2 linked regions of the Arabidopsis thaliana genome follow. The protein of the gene in region 1 purifies or fractionates together with the protein of each later gene. This does not show direct contact. Each region holds a gene or a part of one and is shown in the gene's direction. Other genes may lie near its edges. The genes, in order: AT1G67280 and AT5G66530.

Region 1 (4,782 bases):
TCTTCTGGAGGTTTAACCGTAAACGGTACTTTGGTAAGTACTGGAGGATTCCAAGGAGGAGCAAACACGGCAAGGTACCTATCCACATGCGAAAACTGTGTATGGATTGAATATCCAAAGGCACTCGCTGCAAGGAGATGGTACTCAACACAAGCCACTCTTCCTGATGGAACTTTCATCGTTGTTGGAGGCCGTGACGCTCTCAACTACGAGTATATCCTTCCGGAAGGACAAAACAACAAGAAACTCTATGACTCACAACTTCTTAGACAAACAGATGATCCAGAAGAAAACAATCTTTACCCTTTTGTTTGGCTTAACACTGATGGTAACCTCTTCATTTTCGCCAACAACCGATCCATTCTTCTTAGCCCGAAAACAAACAAAGTGCTCAAAGAGTTCCCTCAACTTCCCGGTGGTGCCCGTAACTACCCTGGTTCCGCCTCCTCGGCTCTTCTCCCCATCCGCCTCTACGTCCAAAACCCCGCTATCATCCCCGCTGATGTCCTAGTTTGCGGTGGTGCAAAACAAGACGCTTACTTCCGTGCAGAGAGGTTAAAGATTTACGATTGGGCCTTGAAAGATTGTGCAAGGTTAAACATCAATAGTGCTAAGCCTGTATGGAAAACAGAGACCATGCCAACGTCACGTGTGATGAGTGATACTGTGATCCTTCCTAATGGAGAAATTCTTATCATTAATGGTGCAAAACGTGGCTCCTCTGGTTGGCACTTAGCCAAAGAACCAAATTTTGCTCCACTCTTGTACAAACCTAACAAACCTTTAGGCCAACGTTTCAAAGAACTCGCTCCTTCCACTATCCCTCGTGTGTACCATTCCATCGCAATCGCTCTTCCTGATGGTAAAGTTCTCGTCGGTGGAAGCAACACCAACAACGGATACCAATTCAACGTTGAGTACCCAACCGAACTCCGCATCGAGAAATTCTCACCACCTTACCTTGATCCAGCTCTAGCCAATATGAGACCAAGAATCGTAAACACCGCAACACCAAAACAGATTAAGTATGGACAAATGTTTGACGTAAAGATCGAGCTTAAACAACAAAACGTAGCAAAGGAGAATGTAATGGTGACAATGTTGGCACCATCATTTACTACACATAGTGTATCAATGAACATGAGGTTGCTTATGTTGGGTATTAACAATGTGAAGAATGTTGGTGGCGATAATCATCAAATCCAAGCCGTTGCTCCTCCTAGTGGAAAACTTGCTCCTCCTGGTTATTATCTTCTCTTTGCCGTCTACAATGGTGTCCCTAGCGTTGGAGAATGGATTCAGATTGTCTAATTTTGATATGCATATATTATCAATTTATTTTTTGAAACGAAACCTATATAACATGTTTGTAAGGTTAATTTTTTTTCTTTATACTTACATGTATATATTCTTTGATTCTTGTAATTATTATATTTTTTGAATAAATGTTTTTTTGATAGATATAACAAATTGGAGAAAATTGTCATAATGAAATCACTATATAGAATGGTTATTTATTATTTTATATTTTTTCAACAGTCTTGTAGTCCTTTATTAATAAATAGTGTTACTTATGACATTTATTTTCCAACATCGATTCCATTTTTTATTTTTTGTAAGTAAGAAAAAATTCATTTCATTTTAACATTACAATACAAAATCTAAATATATAAGTTCCAATAAGGCAGTAATTAACTAATTAATCATTTAACTAATAATAATTATGTCTAAATATCACGAATCGTTCAATTTTTTGTTTTTGTTTTTTTGTTTTGTTTTTTTAATGAATCTCCAAAATAAAAAAGAATAAAAAAGCTTTATCTCTAGTCTCTACCGTTGTCGTCACTTAATCTCCGACGGAGGAAAAGTAGCCACCGCTTGACGAATCATTCATCAACACACGCAGAGAGCTCTGAATCTCGAGGAAGAAGATGGTGAGGATCATTCCTATGGCTGCTTCCTCCATTCGACCTTCCCTCGCCTGCTTCTCTGATTCTCCTCGCTTCCCCATCTCCCTCCTCTCCAGAAATCTCTCTCGCACTCTCCGTAATCATCCTCCTCCTTTCACATATATCGTTGACTACACAATATAGATACAATCATTCTCCAATTGATTAGTGAATTCTAGAACTAGGGTTGTTTTAAAGTTCCCAAATTTCTGGTTTATGATTCTTGTTCAATTTGTGTTGTTGCAGATGTTCCTCAATCACAGCTTTTTGGTTTAACTTCTCATAAGCTTTTGAGAAGAAGTGTAAACTGTTTAGGAGTTGCTGAATCTGGTAAAGCAGCTCAAGCTACTACACAAGATGATCTTCTCACCTGGGTTAAGAATGATAAGAGAAGAATGCTTCATGTTGTTTATCGTGTTGGCGATATGGACCGGACGATAAAGTACTTCACTTTGGCTTTCCTGTGATATGGCTTTGATGTTGAGTCTCTTAAAGTCACATTAAGTTTAAAAGAATCATCTGATTGCTGTAGGTTTTATACTGAATGTCTTGGGATGAAGCTTCTACGTAAGCGTGATATACCAGAAGAGAAGTATACTAATGCTTTCCTTGGTTATGGACCGGAAGATTCACACTTTGTGATTGAGCTTACTTATAGTAAGTTATATCTGTATCCCCCTTTTATGCTACTGCCAAGACTCTGAGTATTGTAGTTCATTTAGCTCTAGGGAGCTCAAGACTATGCATTTTATATTTATATGGTTGGCTTAGCTTTCTTAGTGTAATTTTTTTTACAGATTATGGAGTTGACAAGTATGACATTGGGGCTGGTTTTGGTCACTTTGGTATTGCGGTCGATGATGTGAGCTTCTACAATCTATATGCAATTATGTTCTTTCTTTGAAACAGTGTTTGATGTGTATGGATTTTACTCTTTCCACTTAATGGTTTTATATCTAAGAAGTGAAAATTTCTTTCCAAAAGGTGGCGAAAACTGTAGAGCTTGTGAAAGCCAAAGGGGGAAAAGTAAGCCGGGAGCCTGGTCCTGTCAAAGGTGGCAAAACTGTAATAGCATTCATTGAAGATCCTGATGGTTACAAATTTGAACTCTTGGAAAGAGGTCCTACACCAGAACCTCTTTGCCAAGTTATGCTCCGTGTTGGTGATCTCGATAGGGCCATAAAGTTCTATGAGAAGGTGATTCCTATGAAATTGTTTTGAGATGTGGTAGTTTGCAGCCTGACAGTAAATGTTTGATCTGATATAGTTTCTATCTCTTTTATCAGAATGCATTCTTATCCTCTGATCATGTGTGCTTCCTTTCTTTATAGGCTTTTGGAATGGAACTTCTGCGAACAAGAGACAACCCAGAGTACAAGGTAATTTGCAATGCCTCACAAATCTAATTCTTACTTATGCGGCCTTAACCTTCCATTGTATATATCGGTTATATGTTTTTGTATAAACTCACTTACCGTAAGTGGTTATTTGCAGTACACAATAGCCATGATGGGATATGGTCCAGAAGATAAATTTCCTGTCCTAGAGCTGACATATAACTATGGTGTCACTGAATATGATAAAGGAAATGCTTATGCTCAGGTAAAAGAAAATTGACATTCCGTTCGTCTATATTACTTTTCAACTGGAGGGTTGCGATAGTTTTAACTTGTTTGCTTGTATTTGATTACTATCAGATAGCAATAGGGACGGATGATGTGTACAAAACTGCAGAAGCTATAAAACTCTTTGGGGGAAAAATCACGAGGGAGCCTGGTCCCTTACCAGGTATTAGCACGAAGATCACCGCGTGTCTGGATCCTGATGGTTGGAAATCGGTAAGATATTGGTGTGTAGAGATAGATTCATATTGATGCAAAGAGCTCTGAATGTCTCGTTTTGAGTTTCGACTTTTGGCTTTACAGGTATTTGTGGACAACATTGACTTTCTCAAAGAACTGGAGTGAGAGGAGAAAGCAGAAGAGAGGCAACAAATGCACGAAAATGGCTTATGAGGGAGACAGGAGGAGAGGCCTTGTTGTGAATTACATCAGTTTGGGGTTTGATATAATCTCTCTCAGTGCTGAATATTTTTATCAAAGTGAATGATTTGTTTTTCAGAATATAGTGTAGTTGTTTAATTTACAGTATAAAAGCCTATGTTGCGTCTTTGTATATTAGTTCCACTTAACATTAATTGCCAATAAATAAGATGATAAGTGAATGATATTCAAGAAAAAATCTTATGCCTAGTCCAAGTTATGAGGATCCTTACACTAGAAAACATCGAAGCTTGACATCAATTCTTGAATGTCATTTCTTTTTCTTCTTAATTTTGTTTAATTCGGGATTTTATTTACAAAAAAATATGTATGTGTAGATTAAACGGGCTAGATTTTAGTGATACAAAAAATTTGTGAATTAGATAATCTTTTGCTGAACAAAAAATTACCTTAGACGAAGCAAAGATTGAAACATGTCAAACGACATCGTATAATATACTAAAGGATTAGCGTTAGATAAACTTGTATACGATTTTATAAAACTAGAAGTTAACCTAAACAACATAAAATTAAAATATGCCAAACGACATCGACTATACTAATCTATTCGACATCGTTTGACATGTTTCAATTTTTATGTCGTCTAGGTTAACATTCTTGTTCTATAAAAAGATCATATTCACAGCTTTATGTATTTATATCCGCCGTATTGTTTTTATAACAATATAGCGAAAACACATATCATAAAGAAAGTTTAGATTTTTTTTATCGCATCAATGAAGAAACCTAACATTCAGTTGAATTATTTTGCAAAAGGTATGTGCTAATAA
Region 2 (6,861 bases), on another chromosome or scaffold:
AGAGCAGAATCATTGAGGTAACTACTTGTGGCAGTAATTTGTAACAAAGGTCTCCCTTGTTTCTTCCTGGTTTTGCATGACTGATCTTTTTACTCTTTAGGCTCGTTTCGATGATGTTCAACGAGCACCTCGTCTACCCACTAAAGGAAAAAGAGAAGCCAAGGAATTGGTGAGTTTTATTGAAGAACTATTACTTCTATCCTCTTTTCTTGCTCTGGTGTAATAGTTACAATTGATTTGTTACTTTTGGGTATATGCAGGACGAAAGCAAAAGCAAGAAAGGTCTTGCCGAAGTTTACGAGGTTTGTATCATGTACAATATTTGATTGTGTTATTGCATTTTTTGTGAGATAACCAAACTTACATATGTGTTTTGGTCCATTTGGTTATTTGTAGGCAGAATACTTTCAGAAGGCTAATCCAGCTTTTGCCCCAACAACTCACTCTGATGAACTAAAGAAAGAGGTTCCAACTTGATTTGATACTTATTTTTCCTGGGTTTTTGTGTTTGCATATTTATCTTCTCCTTTCATTGTTAGTGTATATATCACATTCTCTTACTTATAAACGTTAAATCAGGCAAGCATGTTGTTCAAGAAACTATGCCTGAAGTTGGATGCTCTCTCCCACTTCCACTTCACACCTAAACCAGTATGTTTCTTGCTTAGATCCTAAATGATGATCACCTCAAGTGTCTAGACATAGCTGTTCTGGACTGAAACTTTTTATTTTCTCCAAACTTTCAGGTGATTGAAGAAATGTCTATACCAAACGTTTCAGCCATAGCAATGGAAGAGGTAATTCTAAGCCCTTTCCTTTTTTTTGTTTGTTTGTTTGGTAATTGGGATTGGAGACCATTATACTTATCAACTTGTTCCATGTGTACTGTGTAGGTTGCGCCCGTGGCCGTCTCAGATGCAGCAATGCTTGCCCCAGAGGAAATATTTTCCGGGAAAGGTGACATTAAGGATGAGTCTGAGCTCACACAGGAAGATAGAAAGAGGAGGAGAGCGAATAAGAAGAGAAAGTTTAAGGGTAAGGAAGTGAATAACAAAAAGAATATATACTCAATTGGTAAAAAATACAAAATCTGAGTGCATCATGTTGCATTTTAGACGCATAATAACCTCTTTGCTTTTCACTTGTGAAACAGCTGAATCTGCAAATGAACCGCCTAAAAAGGCGCTGGATACAAGTACCAAGAACCCTTAAACTGGTATTTTCTGTGCTCTTACATGACTGACTATAGATTCAAAAAGCATCAAAAAATTAAACGTTGCTTACTTTTGTGAAGTTACATGTTGAAGAAAGGAGAGAGTTACAGAGGCAAATTCAAGATGATAAGATCTCGGTCAAGAGCATTGCTACACAGACAGCTTGAAGATTAGATAAAACAACAGTTTTGAATGAGAGAAATATTTAAACTTTGTCTTTCACAAATTTGAATTTTATTGTATTTTTTTCTCTTTGTATGAGTAGTTCCATTTTCCTTGTATCGATAGAAAAATTCCAAAGAAATCTTAAAAGAACAAAAATGTGCAAAATTCTTAACACCAACATGAATCCTAATGGTAAGATTGAATTTGATATGTTAGCTACAACTAATGAGGCACACCCGTAAGATAATGAAAGAGCAGCAGCAGCATACATTACCTTTCCGAGTCCAGCATGATTCCTCCTTTTAAGTGTAACCACTCTATAGTCTTTCGATTGGGCTAAAAGCCTCAAAGAAGTGAAATAGTAAAAAGGTAATAGATAGAACAAATAAGCTGGAGTAGCTCAGTTGGTTAGAGCGTGTGGCTGTTAACCACAAGGTCAGAGGTTCGACCCCTCTCTCTAGCGTTATGCACTAATTTTTAATAAGCCCATTAGTAATATTGGACCTGGTGGAATGTATTGAACAGCCCATACCCTTCTTTGTAGATATTATTGATAAGTTAGTCGGACTTAAGAAGGATATTCGTAATCCATAAACGATATTATTCTCAAGTTAGTGGTCAACGTTAAACTTTGGGTCCCGACCGCCATTTGAAGAGCCGGTTTCTCCATCGTCGTCACTCGTCATTCGTTTGTTTGTCTCTTCCGGATAGATATATAAATAAAAATGTCCGATATTTTTTTAAAAAATTACATTAGTTTTGCTGCGTTTAGTATTCAATTTCATCGACCCAAATCAAAATCTCTATTCAATCCTTTTCCTTCTTCTTGTTGCCCTAGTACGAGAGGACCGGGAAGGACGCAATATATAGGATACTAGATAGAGAGTGACTGAAGGAGAGAAAAACAAAAATGGCGATTGTTTCCGTCTCTAACTCTTTTCTCACTTTCAATTCTCCCAATCAGCTCCGATTTAGCCGGTAATATTCTTACTGCATTTTGTTTTTTTTCTTTTGGTTTCGCTTCTAATGTCTCTACCTTGCATTTGATCCACACAAAAAAAAACTCGATCTTGGATATTGCAGAAGAAGATTCTCTGCCATGGCTTCTTCAACTACTGGAGTGAGAGTCGCTGAAGGAGAAGGCAATTTGCCAAAACTTGTCCTTACTTCTCCTCAGAACAGGTATCAAAAACTATTGACCATCTCATACTAAGTAAGTCAGGTTCAGCTTTATGTCATCTGGGTTGATTTATAATTGGATGCAGCGAGGCTGAGATATATCTCTTCGGAGGCTGCATTACTTCTTGGAAAGTTGCGAGCGGTAAAGATCTTCTTTTTGTCAGACCAGATGCTGTCTTCAATAAGATTAAGCCCATTAGGTATGTGTGTGTGAACTTCAACAATTGTTGTTAAACCAGATAAAATTGTGAGTAATGTCTTTTCTTTTTTTCGTCATACTGTTTGTTATTGGATTAGCGGAGGGATTCCACATTGTTTTCCACAGTTTGGACCTGGGCTAATTCAACAGGTACTCTCATTTACTGTTTCCTCGCTTGATCAAATCTCTTTTTAGTTGTTTATGCTTATTTGGTGGTCTTGAACCATTTTGGAATCATTAGCATGGGTTTGGAAGGAACATGGACTGGTCTGTTGTCGATTCCCAGAATGCAGATGACAATGCTGCTGTTACTCTTGAGCTTAAGGATGGTCCCTATAGTCGAGCCATGTGGGACTTTGCTTTCCAGGCTCTATACAAGGTGTGTGTCATGCCTTTCACTAATGGCATTCTTGTATGTTATAGTATTTCATAACAGTTTGTGTTGATACTTTAGGTCATTGTTGGCGCGGACTCCCTTTCCACTGAGCTAAAGATTACAAACACAGACGATAAACCATTTTCTTTCAGCACTGCGTTGCATACTTACTTCCGTGTAGGTCCACTAAATCATTTTCCTATGATTTGATACTATGGCTTGCAAATTGAGTCCATGTTATCAACTTTTTCTTCTAATATTTTTTTTTTTGGGTTCATCAGGCTTCTTCTGCGGGGGCCTCCGTGAGAGGTCTAAAGGGTTGTAAAACTCTCAATAAGGATCCAGACCCTAAGAACCCAATAGAGGGTAAAGAAGACAGGTTGGTTTGGTATTTGTTTTTCTTCATTAACTACAGATCTTATTTATTTTATTTCACTTGTTTCATGGTTGTAACTCCTTAATTTCTAACATTTCAGGGATGCAGTCACTTTTCCTGGATTTGTGGATACCGTCTATCTTGATGCTCCCAATGAATTGCAGTTTGATAATGGCTTGGGTGATAAAATAATCATCAAAAACACAAAGTACATTTACTGAGACACTTATATGGCTTTCTACAGGGTCTATGTTTCGTTCTGTGCCTCATGAGTACTACTTGTTTTTGAAAAATGCAGTTGGTCGGATGCGGTCTTGTGGAACCCGCATACTCAGATGGAGGCTTGTTACAGAGACTTTGTGTGCGTGGAAAATGCAAAGGTATATCAGTTTACACTTAAGTCTTTCCTCTTTACAAAACTTATAGACTCAAAAGTTTATAACTCTTCCTTGTCATTTTTAATTCTCAGCTTGGGGATGTCAAGCTAGAGCCGGGACAGTCTTGGACTGCAACACAACTTCTCAGCATCAGTTGAAAACATTGTACTTTAAACTTATAATGTCCAGTGGATCCATTTTCTTAAGCAATAAAAGTTTTATTTCCTCTCCCAAATTTTACCAGTAGTCCCCACAACTGCATTTCCCATCTCTGAAATGATGGAACCTTGTCCTATCTCTCATTACAATATCCCTCTTGTATATCTTAGAGATGAGCTTCGTTACTTTGTGACAATCTTTGCATACTCGGAGATTCTTCATTATACGAATAATGGTTCCTGGTTTAGTCTTGATTAACCCGTATGTAATAGCCAATTTCTCGCTATGCTGATGCACAATAGCCTCTCTTTCATCATCATCAACTAGATCAAGCAGCATCTCTTCTAACTCTGGTACGTACCCGTTTTCCTCAAGTTTCCTTCTCATGATTCTCCATTTAGATTGAATTTTCTCTATCTCTGGGTGTGATCGGTCTCCCGCTAAAAACTCGTGTGTGGTCCCTTCCAAGCTAATTGTACTACATCCTGGAACTTTTGCTACTCCTTGTTCTTTCATCAATCTTCTTGTTTCAGCTGCTTTGTCCCACTTTTTATCCATAGCATGAATATTTGCCTTATGAACATATCTTCCGCCATGATATGGATCTATTGCAATTAAGATTTCTCCAATTTCCTCTCCCAATTCGATGTTTTTGTGAATTCGACAGGCTTTGAGCAACGCACCCCATATCACAGCATTTGGCTTCAATGGCATCTCCTGAATGAAACGTTTTGCTTCATCAAGCAATCCAGCTCGACCGAGTAAATCAACAATACAGCCATAATGCTCGATGGTCGGTTTCAGGTTGTAATCTCTCTCCATGCTGTAGAATATCAACTTTCCTTCTTCAACTAGTCCTGTGTAGCTGCAAGCCGTGAGAACCGCAGTGAAAGTGATCACATTTGGCTTAATTCCCATCTTTTGCATCTCCATGAATTTGCTAATAGCTTCTCTTCCATGGCCATGGTATGCATATCCTGAAATCAAAGCTGTCCATGCTTGCACTGATTTTTTCTTAATATTCTTGAAAACTTCCAAAGCTTCTTCCATTTCACCGCACTTTGCATACATATCTATAAGAACACAACCCAAAACAGAGTCCATTCTGATTCTTGTCTTATTAAGATAGGAATGGATCCATTTCCCTTGCTCGAGTGCTCCGAGCTGAGCACAAGCTGAGAGAGCATTAGCTAGGGAAACATTATCAGGCTCAACATCTGAATTCTGCATTTCATGAAACAATTGCAGAGCTTCCTTGTTCATGTCTGCTTGAACATACCCAGAGATCATCGTAGTCCATGATATAGCATTCTTTTCTGCCATTTTCCTGAATAACGTTAATGCAATATCCATTTTTCCAGCTTTTACATAACCTTTGATCACAGAGTTCCACGAGACATCATCAGGTTCGGGGATTCTGTCAAAGAGAAGGTGAGCTAGCTTGAAATTCCCGGTCACAGCATATGAATTAATCAGAGAATTCACTGCATAGACATCATTTTCATATCCAAGTTTCGTGATCTGTGCGTGAATTTGCGTTGTTTCTTCAAATGCAGATAGGTTCGAACAAGCTTTGAGAAGAGACGGAAAAGTATACGCGTTATGAGGAGCTGAAGAACAGAGCATACGTTGATACAGGAGAAGAGACCTCTCGGGTTCGTCTGAGCACGAGAACCCTCTGATCATTAGGTTCCACAAGAAAGTATCTGGTCGATCAAACCCGTCAAACACAATCTGGGCATAAGGCAAAAAGTCGGAAGACGTTGAAGAAATGCAGAAAGAAAGAAACTTTGTGATTGCATAAGAATCCTGCATCAAGCCAGTTTTCAGCATGCGAGCGTGGATTTGCTTCAGTTCTTCTTGCTTTGAGCATCTCTGGAGACAAGACATTGTCTCGTAGAGATTATGTTCCAATGAGAAGGAGCATGAGATCACATTCATTGTAGTTCATTCGATAAAACAGAGAGACCTCTTGAGAGATAAGGTTCTTCTTTGGTTGATGTTGATGATAACTATATTCTCAATTCTCAGTGGACGCCAAAGTGTGTGCCGTTTGTTCGAGACTTAAAAGGATAAAGTGACGTGGCGAAGAATTACCATAATCACCATAAATTTACCTCCTAATTTTACCAACAGCAACCTGAAATAACATGAACCGGATAATAACGGTCCGACCGAAAATTGAGCACAAAACCAACAAATGGGGATGAGTCGTCAAAGACTGCACTCTCTCCTCTTCCTCTGGCTCCGGCGAAAAACCCCTTTTCGATTTCATTGATAAAACGCAAATCGATCTCTCGTGTGGAAGAAGAAGAAGAACACGATGGGAACAATGGGTAAAGCATTCTACAGCGTAGGATTCTGGATCCGTGAAACTGGTCAAGCACTTGATCGGCTCGGTTGTCGCCTCCAAGGGAAAAATCATTTCCGAGAACAGCGTATGTCTTTTGGATCGCCTTGTCTTCTCTTAGTTCCATTCGAATCCTGGTGATGATTTTTTTTTGTTTCATTACTCGTCGGGTCTTCGAAATGTTTGTGTATTTCTCTGGAATCAGGTCATAGTTTTGATTGATGCGTTTCCTCTTATGTTGATGATTGATTATGGCATTTTTGATTAGAAACCTTAGAGCTTAAGATCAAATGTTCTTCATTTTGCTAGTGACGGTATCCATTTCTGTGGTTGCGAAGAGAGATTCTCGTTAATTTTCTCTTACAAGTTCCTCTTATGTTCTCTGTATTTGGCTAGTTATTATCCTAGTTGAAATCTTCTTCACTTAGACAAGTCTGTTATGTGTTAGCCTGTGCTATGATGGGTG

Evidence for each region.
Region 2: the proteins of AT1G67280 (region 1) and AT5G66530 fractionate together in Arabidopsis thaliana (co-fractionation; one large-scale study listed by BioGRID). This does not show direct contact.

The regions. Positions count from the first base shown.
Region 1 is NC_003070.9:25,187,697-25,192,478, reverse strand, and holds AT1G67280 (Glyoxalase/Bleomycin resistance protein/Dioxygenase superfamily protein), read left to right. Parts: upstream 1-1,784; 5' UTR 1,785-1,931; coding exon 1,932-2,046; intron 2,047-2,195; coding exon 2,196-2,391; intron 2,392-2,481; coding exon 2,482-2,606; intron 2,607-2,746; coding exon 2,747-2,811; intron 2,812-2,933; coding exon 2,934-3,146; intron 3,147-3,280; coding exon 3,281-3,328; intron 3,329-3,443; coding exon 3,444-3,551; intron 3,552-3,646; coding exon 3,647-3,787; intron 3,788-3,874; coding exon 3,875-3,916; 3' UTR 3,917-4,241; downstream 4,242-4,782. Other genes in the region: GLOX1 (glyoxal oxidase-related protein), read left to right, coding at 1-1,311. UniProt on the Arabidopsis thaliana protein: Catalyzes the conversion of hemimercaptal, formed from methylglyoxal and glutathione, to S-lactoylglutathione.
Region 2 is NC_003076.8:26,551,004-26,557,864, reverse strand, and holds AT5G66530 (Galactose mutarotase-like superfamily protein), read left to right. Parts: upstream 1-1,978; 5' UTR 1,979-2,289; coding exon 2,290-2,357; intron 2,358-2,417; exon of another isoform or gene 2,418-2,462; coding exon 2,463-2,561; intron 2,562-2,644; coding exon 2,645-2,758; intron 2,759-2,855; coding exon 2,856-2,907; intron 2,908-2,998; coding exon 2,999-3,136; intron 3,137-3,211; coding exon 3,212-3,310; intron 3,311-3,414; coding exon 3,415-3,512; intron 3,513-3,609; coding exon 3,610-3,717; intron 3,718-3,807; coding exon 3,808-3,889; intron 3,890-3,978; coding exon 3,979-4,044; 3' UTR 4,045-4,123; coding exon of another isoform or gene 4,124-5,986; 3' UTR 5,987-6,075; downstream 6,076-6,861. Other genes in the region: AT5G66540 (U3 small nucleolar ribonucleoprotein), read left to right, coding at 1-17, 101-169, 261-302, 397-465, 580-651, 747-797, 894-1,035, 1,154-1,212; AT5G66520 (Tetratricopeptide repeat (TPR)-like superfamily protein), read right to left, coding at 4,124-5,986; GAMMA CA3 (gamma carbonic anhydrase 3), read left to right, coding at 6,369-6,483.